Schizosaccharomyces pombe: one gene and its partners. The protein of the gene in region 2 interacts with the protein of the main gene of each other region in a biochemical or structural test. Each region holds a gene or a part of one and is shown on either strand. Other genes may lie near its edges. The genes, in order: hat1, hhf1, gcn5 and rna1.

Region 1 (5,336 bases), 3.7 Mb from region 2:
AAAGCGATTTGACGATCACTCATTTTACTGAAACCAGTTGTAGCAAAACGATCAAGGCTCCCGAGCCAAACGACACGGGGATTTTTAGCACCTGCATGACCATTTCCAACGGAGACTGGTTTATCAGTACGAGGGTCCCAGACGCGAACTTTCTTATCTCGAGAAGTTGTTACAAGTCTGGTACCATCAGCGTTGAACGACATAGACTGGCACATTACATCCATTTTCAGAGATACATGGGCTACACCCTTCTCACAATCCCACAACTTGATAGTATTGTCTGCACTAGAAGATGCCAAAACATTCGCTGCAGTGGGATGATATTGAACAAGACCAACTTTACTATACAAAAAAGTCAGTAACTAAAACCCTAATGCAATGTACGACATACCGGCTATGGCCCTTTAATTCAGCAATTGGATGAACATCTTCATAAGGCTCCATAACAGTATAATCTTCTGGTACTTTCCATATCATAATCTAATTCGTTAATACATAAATAAAGTCAAATAGCAGGATACCTTAGAATCATCACCGCCGGATGCTAATACTTGATCATGGAAGGGATTCCAATCAGTATCTAAAACAGCCGCAGTATGGCCCCGAAACAAATTAACTTGATCGGGAAGCTTTCCTCTTTCGTTTAAAGGGATAACTGCCAATGCACCTCCAGCTCCCGCATTCCAATTAACACTGAGGTAAAAGGGGTTCACACTCAATAGGTTAGAATCCCATGCATTATTGCTAAGCTATTGAAGACAATTAGTAAATTTCAAACCATTAAAGTATCGACCAACCTTTATGTTGTCGTAGCAAAGTTCTTTTTTGCAGGTTTGTCCAAAGATATGTCCTAACGTCAGTTAATAATTATTTACTCAAAAAGCATGCGTACTATATTTACTAGCTCTCACAAATCTTCCACTCATTTTTGAAAAAGAATAATTCCTTTATAAGATCGAATGAGAATTTGCTAATTGAGCTAACTTTATCCGGGGTGTCAGGTAATGAACAAAGTCGGGATCGGAATAGGAAGGAGGACGGATGAGAATGACAAGCACCTAAAGTTGTACTGGTCGTTGAAAATAACCAATATTATTGATAGTAGATATTAAAATATTTAAATTTTGGAAAAAGCAGTTCATTATGAGGAATTGTTTGAATTTTTATAAGGTGCCTTTATAGATTTTATTAAACTAGATATCACACTAAATTTGCAAAATATATACAAAATTTATATTATTAAAATGATCACTGTTTCAAATGTCTTTAATCATTTCAAGCGAAAGCTTTCAAAAGCAAATTATATAAAAAGTAATTGCGTCCAATAGTGTAATTTAGTCGATTCTCATAACTTTTTATGCTAATATGCCTTCAATATTCTCAAAGTATTTCAGATCTCTAAAAGTGTTTTCATTTAGGAAGAAGATTGAGCAAGTTTTTGGCGTTTTCGAGGCGAATCTTCCTTAAGCTTGGGTAGCTTTTTGACAATCTGTTTATACTCATCAAACTGATTTTCATAGGCGTTATGAATTTTTTCAATACGTTCGGACTTATCCAACTGTAGCAACACATCAAGATTTTGACGAAAAATCCTTTCCTTTATTCCTAGTCTAACAGATTTCCGCTCCAATAATGAAAGCTTTTTTAGTTTCGTTGTAAATGCTAATTCACAACAGCGTGAGAATTGACGCTAAAAAAAGACAATTAGTAAGTTGCATTGCATGGTAAATTTAGCAAATTACGAACCTGGGTTAACTTTGTTTCAGCTATTTTCGAGTTTATCCACTGCCTAGAAAGAGAGGGATGAAAGTCAGGTTCTGAAAATATTCCCATTGATAATAATCTTTTATAGTCGCAATGGTCTCTAAGGCTATCAAACGCTTCCGATGCATCCTCAACTGTGAAGTCTAAAATTTTAGGATTTTTCAAAAAGGTACTAACAATAGCATTGTACAATTGCGAACCGTGTCCTTGATGTTGAAAAGGGGGTAAAATCACGAATTGTGAGATACGAGCTCGAATACCATCGTGAATTAATTTGTCCCATTTATAATATTTGTATACAGTACAATAACCACGTAAGCAATAATCATCTTCAGTAGTCTCGTAACTTATTTTTGTTAATAAAACCTCGATAAAAAGGTAAAAGGAAAGTAGACGCGTAGAAAATAACAAACTTACAGTAAATATACCATCCATCTTGGATCATTAAGGTCAATAAAAGAGCCCCCTTCAATAAAAAATAAGGAAAATATTTGCAAATGCTGCATAATCTCACTAGCTTCAAGAACCGTTGCCTATTAATACATTACGATTATTAGCCAAAGAACATATAGGGATATTCAATAATTGAATACTTCTCCAATTGAAAGGTAATCGAACATACTTGTAAAATCTTGAATGTTTTTCCATTAAAGGAATAGTTATGAATACTATTTGCCGAATGAACGTCAAATGAGTTTCCTTCAACCTTAATGGAACGATCTTTTAGATAAGTGTTTAATGTTCCTTCAATATCAGTTGGTTCCACTCCTGAATCTGGTGCTAGGCGCTCTGAATATGAGATTTCCAGTTTTGGGACCATCAATGGGCATTCATAGGTTATCTAATAACTGTTACTATTTGCAATCAAATTTCATGACTAAAACTTGCTGATTTAATCTTACAGTGACATTTAGATCTTTATATCCATAAATAACCTCAGCATCTCCAAATATTGCATATGTATTGCTAGGATGGTATTGACAATCTTTTTCATGCTTTTCGTTTACTGACAGGTGTTAACACAAGGTAAAAACATTATAATTTAACATAGCATACCTTGTACAATTTCTATGCATTCATTGGCATTATGTACCCATTCATCAACAGCACTCATCACTGCATACGGAAAATTGAATACCTGACCCTATTTCAAGTCAAACAACAAAAAATACATGTGTCTAGTTGGAAGTAACAAACTACAAGGCGACGCAAAATTTCACGTGCTACACCTGTTATTATTAAAAAATATTTACTATTATATAGATTTCTAGCTCCAGTATTGCCAATTTTAGAACCTACAATTCTTTATAACTTTTCAGATTGCTCAGAACAATAACTACAAGTATAGATTTTCTGACACAACAATCCATTCTTCATCGATGACCCACGATGTTCAGGTATTAAATTTTTTTGATATCATTAAACTAAAATACGATTTGTATCGCAAACATGTAAAACAGTCATAACATCAGGATTTTTTAGTCATTAACCAAAAGAGGACATCATTGCTTGTTCAATAATATGCAGCTTTCTAAAGCGAAAATCCTTAAAGAGTCTTGAGATTGATTTCCTTAACCACCATAAATTCTTGAACGCCCAAACGACCGGCTTCCTTGCCAAAACCGCTCTGTTTGATGCCGCCAAAGGAAATAAATGGTTCGTCAACCATTTCGATATTGGCACCTACAAGACCCACCTCTAGTTCTTTGGCAACGTGGATCATTGTGGACAAGTTATTGGTAAAGACGTAACCGGCCAAGCCAACATCACTGTCGTTAGCCCATTCGATCACCTCTTCGGTGTCGTCGAACTTGAAGACAGAGGCGAGTGGGCCGAATGTTTCCTCGCTAGCAACCAACATGTCTTGAGTTACACCGGAGAGCACGGTTGGTTCAAAAAAATAACCTTTGCTTGAGGAAATCTCCTTTCCACCAACAGTGATTTTGGCACCCTTTGAAACAGCATCTTCAATGTGCTTGCTGACCTTTTTGCATCCATCTTGAGAAATCAAAGGGCCAACAGCAGAAGAAGAGTCAAATCCATCTCCTACTTTAATGGTCTTGACTTTTTCGGTAAGCTTGCTGACGAATTCGTCGTAAACATTCTTGTGAACGTAAACTCTGTTAGGGCAGACACAAACTTGACCACAAGAGTTAAACTTGATAGTGCAGAAAGATTCGACAGCCTGATCAATGGGGAAGTCAGGGAATACAATGAAAGGGGCATTACCTCCTAACTCCATTGAAACCTTCTTGATTGTGCTGGCACTTTGTCCCATAAGAATTTTACCGACATTAGTACTACCAGTGAAGGAAACCTTACGAACGATAGGGTTGGTAGTCAGTTCTTTACCATGAGCAGATGCATCAGAAGAAGTGATCACATTTAAGACACCGTCAGGGAAACCGGCCTCTTGCGCCAACCTGACTAAACCTAAGCAAACGTAGGGAGTGCGGAAAGCAGGCAAGAAAATAGCGGTACAACCAGCAGCCAAAGCGGCACCACCTTTACGAGCAATCATGGCGGCGGGGAAGTTCCAAGGAGTAATCAAGGCACTGACACCAACTGGCTGTTTGATGGAGATGAGAAAGTTTTGACTTTGTAAGCTGGAAGGAGCTACATCGCCAAAGGTACGAACGGCTTCAGCAGCATACCATTTAAGATATCCGCTACATGTGGTGACCTCCATCTCAGCTTGGCTCAAAGGCTTGCCGTTTTCTAAGGTAAGCATCTTGACCAAGTCGTCTTTGTTCTCCATAATAAGCTCTGCCCAGCGTTCCAATAACTGACTACGTTGGACATGAGTAAAATTTTTATAAGTTTTGAAGGCCTCGTTAGCGGCACTGATGGCTTTTTTTGTTTCCTCTACTGAGACATCGGCCACTTTACCGATTATTTCACCAGTAGCTGGGTTATCAACCTCAAAAGTTTTGTTGTTAGGAGAAGAAATCCATTTTCCTTGAACAAAAGATTGAGCATGAGACTTATCAAAGCCAAAGAGCTCAGGGCGTTTGAATTGAGGGGCCATTTTTGAAGAGTATTATACAAAAAAGTGGGAAGGAGTAAATGTTAAAAACTATATGAAACGAAGTTATCGATAGAAATGTTATTATTATTTATAATAATAACAAATAATAGCGTAAGCAGCAACAGATCTTTCGTGGAAAAAAGAAGAATGCAGGTTTTTTTAGTGTTTTCAAATTAAGCTGCAGATTTCTTTTTTTTAATGTAGTGTAAACATCGAGAGAAACGATGCATATTTATAATTTTTCAACAAGACATTTAATGATCAAACCATAACGTATGCATCTTGGTTTTCCGTACTAGATTTACGTCTCAACATCATGTTCTTGGTGTATGCAAACATTTCCCCTGGAAAAAAAGAAAGGCGTATTGAATTTGCGTAAATATCGGCAGACTAACTTATAAATCATAGTGTCTGGTTTGTTAGCTTACGGCTCCCGTCTTCTTCAATGATGTATATAGCGAACTTGGTGGAATTGCATTTTTTACATCATATAATTGAGTGCCACCATATGTGAATATGTACCGACTTTACTATACTGAATGGC
Region 2 (3,950 bases):
TGTTATTAAAGCTTTGCTTGCTAACAAAGCCGATGGTGGAGTATTCCTTGACATGGCTTACAAGCCCTTGCATACACCTCTAATGGCTGTTGCATCTGACTTGGAATGGAAATGTTGCAACGGATTGGAAGCTTTAGTTCGTCAAGGTCTTGCGTCTTTTCATTTGTGGACTGGAATGACAGCACCATTTGATGCTGTTTATCAAAAGGTTATTGAGTAAGTCAACAATTCAAATTTTCGATTTAGTTAGGTATTTTGAAATCTATTTTGATACAAATGTAGAATAAAAATACAGGAAGTAATTTTTTTTAGCACTTCAGCTAGTAGAATCAGGAAGCCAATTGACGCTTGGTATGTCAATGATCAGTAAGCAGTCGCAAAATGTATGAACGCTGTAAATTTACAACAACAAAAATAATCTTGTAGAAGTGGAAACATTACTGTACCATTTTGCATACCAACTTGTATCTACTTTCGACTACAAAATGAAGTATTTTGCGAAACGTGATAATTAAGTTTATTAAAGTGTGACATTCAAAGACATTGTTTGCAAAAAATAATATCACCTACAAAAGAAACTAGTCATAAAAACATATGCAGAACAAATCCAATTAAAAACAGAACTTATAAGACTGCTGAAAAAGGGAAAGTCGCAGAAAGAGGTAATAATCCACAAAAATTATATTGATAGATAATTCAAATTTCACGAACAATTGCACAACATTTATAGCAGACAGGGGTAAAAAAGGAATTAAGTGGTAAATAATAAAGTGATATACAAACAAGGAGAAAAAAATCAATGTAATAGGAGTTTAACCACCGAAACCATAAATGGTACGGCCTTGACGCTTCAAAGAATAGACAACGTCCAAAGAAGTGACAGTCTTACGCTTGGCATGCTCAGTATAGGTGACGGCATCGCGAATAACATTTTCTAAGAAGAGCTTGAGAACAGCACGAGTCTCTTCATAAACCAAAGCGGAAATACGCTTCACACCACCACGACGAGCAAGACGACGGATAGCAGGCTTAGTAATACCTTGAATGTTGTCACGAAGAATTTTACGGTGACGCTTAGCACCACCTTTTCCCAAACCTTTACCACCTTTACCACGACCAGACATGTTAAGAAGTAGAAAAAATTAAAATCTACGCAAAAAAACGCGTAATTCTTTAAGTATAATAAAGATAAAGGGGTTTTCCGTTGACTAACAAAGGAACAATGAATTTATAGATGTCAACAGATGTTAACGGTAGGATAAAAGTCAATGCAAATTGACAAAGGATTTTATCCGTATTCAAAAACAATTAAAAGAAATGATTGTCTGAAGAGAGGGAAGTTGGGGCGACGCTGTCTATTTGTTTTGAATCTGCATCAAAACCCTAACCCTGCTTTTGATGAGATCGGGTGGATTCAAAACATATATATAGCAAATATCTGCAGTACGCTTGCGTTTCCATTAATTCTAAAGATCAACAATTGGCAAAAGTAGCACAACAGCTATTTTTTTCTCGATTGTCTTTTTATTTGATATTCATTCTACTAGCTTGATATAATGGCTCGTACTAAACAAACAGCTCGTAAGTCTACCGGTGGTAAGGCACCCCGTAAGCAATTGGCCTCTAAGGCCGCTCGTAAGGCCGCTCCCGCTACCGGAGGTGTTAAGAAGCCTCATCGTTATCGTCCTGGTACTGTCGCTCTTCGTGAGATTCGTCGTTATCAAAAGTCTACTGAACTTTTAATTCGTAAGCTACCTTTCCAACGTTTGGTCCGTGAAATCGCCCAAGATTTCAAGACTGACTTGCGTTTCCAATCTTCTGCCATTGGTGCTCTCCAAGAAGCTGTTGAGGCCTACCTTGTCTCTCTATTTGAGGACACTAACTTGTGTGCTATTCACGGAAAACGTGTTACGATTCAACCCAAGGATATGCAGTTGGCTCGTCGTCTCCGTGGCGAACGCTCATAATTTTCTCCAGGACTTTTGGCAATTGTAATTGAGACTAAATTAATTTTGATTGACTGCTTGCCTGTATTATACTGTCACCCTTTGATATGTTGCTACCAATAAGTGAAAAGCAGGCTTCGTGAATAATTGTTGTTTTTGTTCTACATTACCAAGAGCTAGATGAACGTTCACTTTGATGGGAACGGATATGTGTTAATTTGGTTGTTTGAATTTATCTTCAATTATAGAAACTTGTCGTTAATTCATGCGAATGAATTCAGCCTTGAGAGTGACAAGTTTAGATAACACATTATGTACATTAATGAAAACTAATGACAACAAGTACCTTTATTTGAAACATGATTTCTTTTATTTCAAGTATCTGTTAAATTTATGTCTTTTGTTTTATAAAAGAATACAGAACTACGAAGACAATGCTTTTTTTAAAAATCTTTACACTTTTGGTATTGAGATTTGGTTGTTATCGCAGCATTCTTTATCGTTTAATGGCGGTTCGCATAAAGAATTGCACATATTTATATGAACAAACTGTTTTCAGGTATTTACGAACTGTTTAATAGCTTAATAGCTTTGATATATCGCGGAAAGATATTTTGCAAAGACAAATCGAGCATGTAATGAACTTATCGGCCGAAAAAAAATAGACAATTCGTGAAAAATAATCAGTCATTCTTTCCTGCTTGTTATGTAACCTCTCTTTAGAACCTGGAATTGCATTTATAAGAGAATTAACGGTCGTTTTAATTCTTATTTTTAAAAATTTAGAGCTTTCTTAAGCATAGTTGAACGAGTAAAAGTAGTCCTTTGTTAGCGACTTCATAATTAAGCCTTGAAATTTATTCGGATGATTATTCTTAACATAAAAAGGAAGCGCTGCTGACTGCTATATTTGGTAATTGCGATTGCCTGTCATTTCGTGAAGTAGCAAAATATTTGTAATTTATTGGCAACATTTAATTTAAATATAGAATTAAGCATATACTCACAGAGTTAATTTAGTTAGTATATAATTTTAGAATCTAGGATGGGATGTGTTTATCGGGCAACAGAAAGTTTAAAAGCAATTTAGTATTGTATCCGGAATGTGAGGGCTTTGATTAATTTGAAATTTTGAAAGACCAATGTCAATCAATGCTCATTCAAGAAGAACTTACTTTAAGTACTCAATCATCTAAATAATGGGTCCGACTAATATTGCGTGCTATGTTATCTCATTTTTACAAGTTTCTTTGTTTGTTTTCTGTATATTCATTAGTACCTTTCACACTGGGATTACTGAACAAGAATATTCACGAGCCGCCAAATATATTCGACCCATAATTCGAAGGCACACTTTATTAGAGTGGTAGTATTGTTTACAATGAAGAATGCTATAAAGTGATTTACATAAATTATCGTTGTATATAGTCGTTTAAACAGTTAACAAAGTCATATTCTATATTTTTTTGATTTTGGCTGAATGTTTTACTGCTAGTAGTTTCAAGCTTCATCATGCATCCGTTAAATTGGTACATTAGTATAACAATATTCTAATATTATAATAACTATTCTCATATTTTACAACAAATAGCTATTTTCCATAAAATTCAAGCTTAGTTTTCAAATGACTGCAGTACCATATTTGTAAACTTGACCGTTTTTGGAATTCATTTTTTGTATAAATTGAAGGACTTTCTTTTAATTTTGTAAAACAGTGGTAATTTTCATCGTTTAAACAGACGTAGATTGCCATAGTACATTAAATGGTTGAAACAAGCGTCTTTTATTAGCAAAATGCTTGGTTGTTTCTGAATAATCAGCATTTTCTAAATTTTTTATGATATGAATTCGATGTTAAAAAGAATGTTAAATCATTAGTAAAAATTTAGATTACATATTCATTATTGTCATAAAGCTTTCTGAATTATTAATATCAATAGACTTAAAGACCTGCTTTCCAGTTATATGGGCAAATTCATAATTGTATCATTAGTTTCTGTTAAG
Region 3 (5,205 bases), 270 kb from region 2:
TTTCAAATACAATCAAAAGGTTTGACGAATCTAATGAGGAAGACCGACATGGAGTATATTGTGTGCTCTCTCTTATGGAGAATTTATTATCTGTGGACAATAGCATTTGTTCAATAATAGTTGAAAACACAACATTGGTAGAATGGTTACTGAGTAGATCGTCTGTTGATGAAACTTCTATATCAACTAATTTGCAGTACGCTGTTGAAATTTTAGCTATCATTCTCGCTAATTCAAAAGAAGCTAAATTGAAAGTGTGCAACTTGAATGGGATTGATCTTTTGTTGCGCCGGATCAGTCCTTATAGGCTTCGTGATCCAACCCAAGGATCAGAAGAAGAAATGATGGAAAACGTGTTTGATTGCTTATGTAGTCTGGTTCAAGAAACGAAAGGAAAATCCCTTTTTCTAAAAGAGGAAGGTATTGAATTATGCATACTAAATATGAAACATAAAGGAAAAAGCCGTTATTCTACAATCAAAGTTTTGGACTATCTTTTATTTGGGCCTCTTTCCACTCCTTATTGTATTCGATTTGTAGAAGCAGGCGGTTTGAAATATATTTTTGCTGCGTTTATGAAAATATCTGCAGCCGATACTCTGGAACATATATTAGCTATTCTGGCATCTTTATTTCGATCTTTACCTGCTGACACCGTAGAAAGGGTGCGCTTTTTACGGAAATTCATTGAAAATGACTTTGAAAAAATGAAACGCCTTTTCAAAATTTACGATCGCTTGAGAATCCAACTCAAAGGTATTGACCAAAGCAGAAAACTTGATTTTAGTCCTGATTCGGAGGAAAAGAGTACCAAATGGTTTCTCCAACAAATTGATCATGGACTGTTTCCTTTCCAATCTACAGTTCTTATCCTTTCGTGGTTATGCGTTGAAAATACAGTGACATTGAAAAAAATTAAGATGCTGTTTTCCGAAGCATCCATTCCAATTGATGAGTTGACTGATGCTCTAAAAAATTATCATGAAAACCTTGAAGAACCGACGGTGGAGTCCGAAGAGGTGGAGGCCAACGACTCTTACTACAGAATTGACGAAAAACCTATGGTTACTGTTTTACTTGGATCTATGCAAGCATCTGTGTAATAAAATCATGACTTGTTCTGATAACATATTTTCAATTTAATGAGTTGTACATTTGTTATTATGGAACATAAAGAGTGTTTGGTATTATAGAATTATATATATTTTTAAACAAAAAAACTAAAAATTAAACACTAGCAGTTCTTGATATGCCAGCATATTTGGAAGGCACAAAAGATATTCGTGTAAAAAATTAAAAGGTGAAATGTATATGTTATAATCAATAAAACTTCGGAATAGACGTTTCGATGATAATAAATGTAAATGATTAATCGGCTAAGTGTGAATACTCAGTTTCACGAAGTTTTTTCTGGAAAAACTTTTCCAATCTATCGGCATTTTTATAGTAAGTCGTGTTGGAGTCATTGTAAGAACGGCAATTATCAAATATATATTTTGCATCCCGAATAAATTCCTCTACAGACTCATACTGGTTGTTACGCAACCGAAATTCCATAGTCGAAAGGTCCATGGGGTGTTCAATAACTTCGTAATAATCGGGTACATCCTCTTTACTAACCGGTTGCATAAAGGGCCAGGAAGACGGATGATTTTGCATTTCTGTAAAAAGCATTTCCAAAACGGCAAAAAAAGGTTTAGGTCTGGGCTTTTTGGAGAGCTCTTCCATTTCCTTGCACCATCCAACTTCCATCAACCCAGGAACTTGAGACGGCTCTATATGAGCTGGACCATCTTTGAATACGTCTAAACCAGGATAAACAACGTTCGACCGAGTGATCCTGTTAATTTTGGAAACAACAGCAGCTTTCTGAATAGCCAAAATCAGATTAGCTTCTAAATACTTTATTTTTGGAATCATGGTGCATTGCATAAGTGTGCCACCTTCGTAATCCTTAATATAGCCAACCCATATAGACTTGTCAAGAGTAATTTCCTTAGTAAATCCTTGTTTTTTAAAATACCCGATTGCATAGTTATCTGCATATGTCAAGAAGTGCTGAATTGTAGTAGTTCCACGGACATAATCCTTTAAATGATTCATTAAATGAGAACCATAACCACGAACCTGTTCATTGGAAGCAATCGCACAAAATACAATTTCGGCAAATCCTCGTTGTTCAAATGGACGATAAGTAATACCGCCCACTACATGTAAATTATCTTTGACAATGGTCATTGAAAGATGGTTTCGATCATAAATTAGCCGCGTAATGTATTCTTTTGGCATTTTAGGAAGTTGTTTCATAAATATGTTTTTTAAACCAGTCAACATGATCATACTGTCGGCGGTGTCGTCGTTAGAAACAACACGAAATTGAATAACGCCGCTTTTTTCTTCTAATACAGATGGCTTTTCAGTAACTCGTACACTACTAATATCAAAATCAACATCTAAATCTGTAGCCACGAGCTTTCTCTTTTTAGAATTTGAAACTCCGTTAGGTACGAAATGAGAGGATGAGCTTTCCGTATCCTTGTTTTCCTTTACAGCTAAAGATTCTTGTCCATCGGAATTAGCAATTGCTTCGCGAACATTTGGATTGGATTGTTCGTCCTGTTTTACCGGTTTATCATGTACACTATCGTTTGACGCATTTGGAAAGTTGGAAGATGTACTGTCTACAACACTTGAATCGGGTGGTCGTGTTTGATCATTTAACGAATTCGACATGATTATTCTATGCCACGCATCCAAACAAATAAATCCAAAAAGTGAAGATACAGAAATTGTCAAGAACGATACAAGATGAAACGAGCACGAAAAAACGGTATATAATAACGAAATACAGAAAATTAAAATAAACGATAATTTGTTAAAATATACACCACGAACCCAGTTATTTGTCTCGAAAATTTTGTTTTTGGCACCAACAATGTGAAAAGACGTCGACCAGCCCTTTACCTTTCTAAAACTTAAGGAAACTCGGCAGGGATTCTCTTAGAAAAAGAACCTCTTTTTATAGAAAGAGTTTGAACACAAGTCAACCGAAAATGACCGTATCAAGGAGAATTTTTTAATCTATAAAAAAAATCTCAGATTTGCGCTCCAAAATACAATCAATTTTTTAATACTTCAAATCAACGATTATCCTAATATTTACTAATTAAAGACACAAATACATGATTTGACTTGGGATGCAAGATTAGAAAATTTCTTCTCTACGAATTTTCTGCTTTCATTTTTTGAAGTTATTGGTGTTGCTTCTAAATATAGAGACGCACCGTAGTTCGTTAGCAATACCTCTTTTTGTGATGATATTCTTTTATGTATTTAGCGATAAAGCTAACGAAAATATTTTCTGTGATATTACACTAACTGTGAGGCTTAGTCTACGTACTAATGGAGTGACTCTGCTAAAACGAATATTTTGGATTTAACTCGAATTATTCATTATAATATCCAACTTCTTTTCTTTTTTTTTAAAGAAGATTTTAAGACTCTTAACGTGAGATGTTCCTCTTCTTGCCGATACCGCTGAATGTTCAAGACATATGGAAAGTCAATAGCAAATATAAGCACGTCTTACTGACATGTCCTGTATGGTATGAAATCAATGAATTAGTGTTAAAACAAGTGGATTGAGTACATTGTTTAAATGGCGAAGTGGAAATGGAACAATTGTAGAAACATTTTGTTTTCAGAAATTACGCACTTGTTTTTTATTAAAATTTGTCATTTAAAAATAGTTTCTAGCAGTCTTCTTGTTTTCCTTCTATTCTTTTCATCAGCACTTTTTGCTAATACTTTCTTTTTAGCCAAAATAAAACTGGTATGAGACACATATAAGTGGTGTAGTTGCATGAAGGCAATTGCTCTTTCTTTGGGTTGTTTTATTAATGTTAACGTAAAACTTTGGTTTTTAGTTCGGGTATATCGTTTGGTTAAATCTTTAGCACTCATCGTTTTGCCTGTTCTCCCGGTTTATACGAGTAAGGTAAGGGAATTCAAGAAAGCATATGTTATGTAGTTGACCCTTTCTACTTATCATTGTTTGGAAACCTGACAGACCTTGTTTGTTATTTTCTAAGCCATTCTTCAATCTTCAATGTTACATGCTTTCCAGGGAAAGTTGGGATTATTTTGCTGTCCAACTAATAAGCACTCACTTGCTAACTCAGAGCAGGTACTTCGTTGTTCTCATTGTGGGTGGTATGAACCAGTAGATTCGGCCATGATTGATCAAAGGCGCAGGCGTGAAGATCTTCCTACTCCCGAAAGACCTGAGGCGAGTGCTCAACAGCATGCATTTTTTCCTGGCTCAAGTTCGCAACAAACCGATATTCCTAACGTTCGTCCTCAACCACATATACCGCCTCCAAGAAAAAGTGATGAGGCACCACCCCCTTACAGCTACAAGTAATGTTCTACCTTAATTCTATTTATTGTTCTACCGTTTCTAATGCTTCCCTGATGAAGCTTTCTAAGCATGTTTGGTAATATTTATTGTGCATACTATATGACTGGATATGATAGATAATAATGGCTAATTTTTTTTTTTGATTAATAGAATACAGAAGAGTTTTAATTCATAAATATTATTCATATAATCTAACTCGTAAGGCACAGCCTTTTTAAATGGTTTCCGGCGAGGAAGGAAGCTAATAAACCAAAGGATAAAAACCTATCTAAAGCATCTCATTAGATCTTTTTAATTGTCCCGATATAATAAACTATTATAGTGAGCGCCAAGCCCAAACAAATGCTGGTAATATGCTATACACAACGGTTTTTCGAACTTGACCGTTGAGGGGTTAAACTTTAAAACTGGACCTTCTGTGTTGTAGACATGAACAGGAACCTCAAGAGAGTTTGCTAATGCCTGTATTTCAATATCACTTCCCCATTTGCTATTGTTTCGAATTTCGTTACAATAATCGGATACTGGCAAAACTTCTCCAGATTCTTCGTCTAGCAAAAAGCCTTCAAACTGTTCGCAGTGCTTTAATACATAATCAGCGGATTTATTACGAAGAGCTTGGCTATTTAGTTTAACATTATGATGATAATTTAACTGATGTGAAATGGAAGCAAATAAACAATTTCCATCCGCTGGTATATCGACTGCAACAAGTCCAGCTTCCTCAAGGATTTTTGAAAACTTTTTTTTCTCTTCATTTTTGAGATCAGCCATTTTTTCTGACT
Region 4 (5,070 bases), 330 kb from region 2:
CTTTACGATTCACTGGTAACAGTATTCGGATTTAATAGTAAAGGCTTTGCAAAAAAAAAATAGTTGAAGTCCTAATATGTTTGCTAATGTATCGCAAAGCTTGTTAAAATCTTAACAGCATCGTTGCTTCTCGCTTTTCAGCAGCCTGCATACATGTCAAGCAATGTAATTACATCTGTAATGTTGATTTTAAACAATTATCAAAAGATAAAAATTTCAATACACAAATACGCATTCATAGCTGTTTAACAACTTTACGCCATATAGAAAAATCATCAAAGTTAGTCATACAAATGTAACGGAGTCATCTCGAAACAAACGAATGAAAAGTAAAATGTACAAGGATAATTCATCTTTCTTCAAATTCTTCCAAACAATCAGTAACCATAGCATCCATCCATTCAGTCACCAAATATCCCAACCCCAATAAAGCACTTTCATCCAAACACTCGAATGACTTTTTCCCTGTCGCAAGCATGTATTCTGTTGCAAAATCCTGGATGCTATGAACTAAATCCTAAACATAAAAAGATTAGTTAAACAAGTATTGGCAGAAGCTGTGAACTTACAGGATCCGGCAGTTCATGTGGAATTGGAACAGAAAAATCCTGTACTAAATCACGAGCTCTGTAAGACAATTCACCATCAGCATTCACCAAATTATACAAAGTTGGCCGAGTTGGTGGATTTGACATTAATAGATGGCGTTGGACGTAGAGTATGTACTATGCTAGGTGAAGCTTCTAATTCGTCCTTGCAGTAGTACAATCATATTTGGAAACACCAAGCTCAAGTAATGGAATCCCCACATTCTTAAAAGTTAACTGCGACTTACAGAAAATTTATCTCGAGGTTTACAGACATACTGAAAAAATAGTTCAGGCTTTACGACATAACAACAAAACAACTTTACACAGATACAATCCAAACCATATTATATTGACCCAATACTTAATTAAAGTGGGTTATTAATAAAACGTAAAGAACCTTTTCGCCATTTTTGAAAGGGGAATTTTTTTTCTGTCATATACAGATTTAATCTAATACTATTTATCGGTCCTGCCGCGTAAAAAGACAGAATGTTGATAAAAATGCAGAAGGAAATCGAATGGTCGATATAGACCATCCGTTGACCACAATCGTTCATTACCGCCTAGCATGAACAATAGAAATATGTTAAAAAATTTCGGAAACAGCGGAGCAGGGTTCGAGAGGGAAAGTAGTTGCTCTAAATATGAGCTTTTGATAGCTCATCAGCAAGTTCTTTGTCTTCTTTTTCTTCTTCAGAAGTCTCCGGCTCAGGGCTTTGAGACTCAGCTTCTTCTTCTTCATCCTCCTCCTCCTCGTCGGTAAGTTCCTCCATATCATCAAGCTCATCTAGTTCACCACGACCACGGGTGCTAAAGACTTCACGTATTTCATCAACAACATCGTCTTCTTCCGAAAATCTGTTTCCATTTAATTCAAGGAATAAAAGATCCGGCATTTTCTCATCAATCACAGTTTTTAGGGTCCGGACAGCATCCAGCTCTATCTCGTTATACTGTAAGCGTAACGTTTGAAGCCCAATATTTTCTAATTTAGAAAAAGCATCTACAACTGCGGCAGCACCGCGAGCAGATAAGAGACAATCGTTGAGGCCTAGTTCTCGAAGGTTGGGCCAGCTTTTCAACGCGATAGCGAGAGCGCTAGAGCCCAAGTGCGTAAATGTGTTATCTTGAAGATCGAGTACCTTTAGCTCTTGGCAATATGCTAATCCTTCAAGCAATAAGTGTTCAATACCTTCGGGACGGATACCATTTTGCACCATTTTCACTGTATGTAGCAAACGGTGGCTCTGGAAAGTTTTAGCCCATTCTTTCATACTCCCATTTTCTAAACGATTTCTTCCACAAATAATGGAACGCAAGGGAGGTGCATTTTTAGCTTTCTTGTTGACCGCCAGCTCTTGCAAGGCACGAGCAATTTTTGCGCCAGCTTGAGGACCGAGTCCATTATTGTGTAGGTAAAGATGCTCCAAAGGTGTGTGTTTTGAAAGAAAGTCAATCAAGGGCTCCTGTGCAGTAGGGCCAAAGGCATTATCGCTCAATCTTACAGTATGTAGTTTTGGGCACTTGAGTAAAGCTTGTAGCAACAGACGTAAAGCCTCAGGAATTTCATCTTTGACACGTCCAGTAAAGATATCACTAAACTCTGCAATTTCTAAATCTTTTTTTGAGGCAATATTCTCTGACAACCATCTAGCAGCTTCGGTTCCAATTGTGTTACCAGACAATACAATTTCCTTTACAGAATCATCTTCTAACAGAACAGCAAATACAGACTTCTCGTCTTCAGTTGTAATTGCATCTAATTTCAAAGACTTCCCTTCTATTGAAAAACGCGACATGGAGTTGGTTGTTGAAAGAAAAAATATAGCAGGTATGGTGGTGAGGAAAGATTGTGTGAACTAGCTGTGTATGTTAAATTTGATCGAGGATAGATGCTTCAGTCACTTGAATTCATGGCTTTTAAAAAAGAAACTAAAATAATATTCAAAGTAGAAGAAGAACGAAATTTATCCTCTTTTGACGGATACCCCCTTTACTCAACCTGTTTTTATTTACAAACTCAAATGCGATCTCTCGCTAATGAGTTTAATTTTAAGACGATTCTATGCTATTAGAAGTCATTTAAATTATTAGATCAGATTAGCGCAAACCGAAAGATACTCAATGTCGGAGTGGTGCATTAGTGCTCGGATACGTTCCTGAAAGACATGTATAAAACTTTTGTAAATAGGATGATTGAGCTTTTTTGACATTTATCTATCATTCATTTTTGAAAAAATAGCTGTGACAATCCTGTTGCATATAGTTTGTTTTTTTGACTAAGTATAGAGGATCTTATGAAGAACCTTTTTGAGTGACCTTAGTCCTGAATTCTTAGCTTAAGTTTGCTTTAACTTAATTGCATTTCTAGCAATTAACATTGCTAGATTTTTGCCTCATCGCTAGTCCATTTATAAGAATACGAAGTTGAACGAAGGAATATTGACCAAAAGAGCTTGGTGACTTCCAAAAAATGAAGAATCAAAAAGATCTGAAATGAGTATCCCTATCTTTCAGCTTTCCGCTTGTTTCGTGATCATTTCAGTTACTCACACATATACATTTATGAGTTGACCCAAAAAGAAAATCGGAAAGCGGGAGTTTAACAGATATATGAAAAATCAAGATAATAACAACAATTGATATTTTTAGTTTAACATTTCTTATTCATTACTGTGAAAATCCACGAGTCTGCACTCTAGACACATAGAATACTCTTTAAACAGCTTTCACATTATCAGGAAAGCTATTCCATTGATACTGTATTCTTTTCAGTAAATTAATTCTCATTTCATAGTTGTAACCATTCTCGAATTGGACTTCAGTCCGCATTCCAGTACTTGATCTGCTTTACCTGTTTCAACAATTTGAATCGTTTGATTATTTTCCCATTCAATCATGACATTGATTTAGACGTATTGCTGAATTAAGCCATTCCTGTTATTTGTCCCAACGTATAAAACTGGTTAAAATGTTTAAGTACTGTGAATCATGTCATTAAAAGTTTGGAAACGTGATTTTAAAGGAACAACTCATTATTTTGAACATAAATCATTACCATACAGATTTTTCTTCTTTTTCTTCTTTTATTATAAATAGGATACGATAAGTAGAGGAAACCGTAAATTTATGATGATTGACTCCATGATGCGGTAATTTCAATCCTTCCACTACACACTGCCTTTAATTCCAGGTCCATCTGGTTAATCATTTTTTAAAGAATCTAATTCATTCATATTTTTTTATTATAATTTACATTATATTTTCAATTTCTTTTTACTGTTTTCTCTCGTTTCTTGAGTCAACGGGCGAAGATTCGTGTTTCAAACGTAGTATTCTTTGGAATATCACAAATCTCATTTTAATTTTTAAAACGGCTTTCTAATTTTCTACCGAGAAAGAGTAGAAAGTTTCCCATTTCATTCATAATTTCTGATCCATTCTTGGTATCTTATTGTTTTGCTTTTATCCAATCTCAGTTTATATTTGTGAAACTTGAAAAAGAGTTTCTCTTGTCTCTAAAAGACTAAATTTTATTTTTTATTTTTTTATTAATTTGCATTTAACATCTGCTAATCTTTAAAATGGCAGTCCTACAGTGGAAGTTATCTCGTGTTATATTCGTGTTGTTAATCATTGGGATTAGCTCTTTTCTCATTTACTTCCAATTTGGAAACTCTTTTTCTGCTTCACCTGCTTTAGAACGTTTACAAGATGTATTTTCCAAACCAAGTGTACAAGAATACGACTACTTAGTACCTCTGGATGAAGATATGCAAGGCCTTAGCACGACGTATCATCAAGCGACAATTAACGAGGATGATCCTCAAGAGCCCAAATCCCATGAAATAGTAATCCTCTTAGCGAGTGATGGACGTTCAAGTGGCAATATGGCACCTGAAACATTTAATCAATGCATAGAAAACCGAATTAACTACGCAAAGCATCACAACTATGGCTTTGAATATGTTAATGTAAGCCAAATGAACATTCCTCCAGTGTGGGCCAAAATGCCCGCTATTATACAAACAATGAATAAGCATCCTCATGCGAAATGGATTTGGTGGTTGGACCAAGATGCGTTAATTTTGAACACAGAACTCTCTATTCAAGAACATATTTTGTCACCTGACGTTTTAGTGGAAAAGTTAATGAAGAATGAACCTATGATATCTCCATTTAGTGCTGATCTCGAACGTCTCACCCCAAGTTCCTATACTGTTGACAGTGCTCGTTCTTTAGGGCTATTGATTTCTCAAGATTTGAATGGCTTAAACGCGGGAAGTTTCTTTGTTAGAAGGTCGCCCATGATGGCTCTGTTTTTGGACTTATGGGGCGATAAATCCTTTAGAGAAAATAAGGTTGCGGATCATGAACAGGCCCTTTTGGGATATTTTGTTAGATATCACCCGGAAATTGCTGCTATAATAGGAATTTTACCTCAAACCCTTATTAATTCTTACCCTGTTGGCCAGCCGGA

What was found.
Region 1: of the proteins of hhf1 (region 2) and hat1, one has a biochemical effect on the other in vitro, tested with the Schizosaccharomyces pombe proteins (one study listed by BioGRID).
Region 3: of the proteins of hhf1 (region 2) and gcn5, one has a biochemical effect on the other in vitro, tested with the Schizosaccharomyces pombe proteins (one study listed by BioGRID).
Region 4: the proteins of hhf1 (region 2) and rna1 form a complex in vitro, tested with the Schizosaccharomyces pombe proteins (one study listed by BioGRID).

The regions. Positions count from the first base shown.
Region 1 is NC_003424.3:1,027,772-1,033,107, reverse strand, and holds hat1 (histone acetyltransferase Hat1), read right to left. Parts: upstream 2,889-5,336; 5' UTR 2,879-2,888; coding exon 2,821-2,878; exon of another isoform or gene 2,771-2,820; coding exon 2,667-2,770; exon of another isoform or gene 2,606-2,666; coding exon 2,387-2,605; intron 2,298-2,386; coding exon 2,182-2,297; intron 2,111-2,181; coding exon 1,747-2,110; intron 1,691-1,746; coding exon 1,415-1,690; 3' UTR 1,167-1,414; downstream 1-1,166. Other genes in the region: coronin Crn1, read right to left, coding at 1-342, 392-480, 522-749, 798-850, 893-926; ssd2 (succinate-semialdehyde dehydrogenase), read right to left, coding at 3,311-4,792. UniProt on the Schizosaccharomyces pombe protein: Catalytic component of the histone acetylase B (HAT-B) complex. Acetylates 'Lys-12' of histone H4 which is required for telomeric silencing. Has intrinsic substrate specificity that modifies lysine in recognition sequence GXGKXG.
Region 2 is NC_003424.3:4,698,273-4,702,222, forward strand, and holds hhf1 (histone H4 h4.1), read right to left. Parts: upstream 1,328-3,950; 5' UTR 1,125-1,327; coding exon 813-1,124; 3' UTR 501-812; downstream 1-500. Other genes in the region: multifunctional aromatic polypeptide Aro1, read left to right, coding at 1-220; hht1 (histone H3 h3.1), read left to right, coding at 1,557-1,967.
Region 3 is NC_003424.3:4,971,644-4,976,848, reverse strand, and holds gcn5 (SAGA complex histone acetyltransferase catalytic subunit Gcn5), read right to left. Parts: upstream 3,226-5,205; 5' UTR 2,734-3,225; coding exon 1,369-2,733; 3' UTR 1,151-1,368; downstream 1-1,150. Other genes in the region: SPOM_SPAC1952.06C (uncharacterized protein), read left to right, coding at 1-1,103; SPOM_SPAC1952.04C (uncharacterized protein), read left to right, coding at 3,514-3,605, 3,819-3,832, 3,927-3,997, 4,187-4,423; OUT family ubiquitin-specific cysteine protease Otu2, read right to left, coding at 4,712-5,205.
Region 4 is NC_003424.3:5,029,103-5,034,172, reverse strand, and holds rna1 (RanGAP Rna1), read right to left. Parts: upstream 2,403-5,070; 5' UTR 2,390-2,402; coding exon 1,229-2,389; 3' UTR 912-1,228; downstream 1-911. Other genes in the region: RNA polymerase I upstream activation factor complex subunit Rrn10, read right to left, coding at 350-517, 570-695; alpha-1,2-galactosyltransferase Gmh3, read left to right, coding at 4,175-5,070.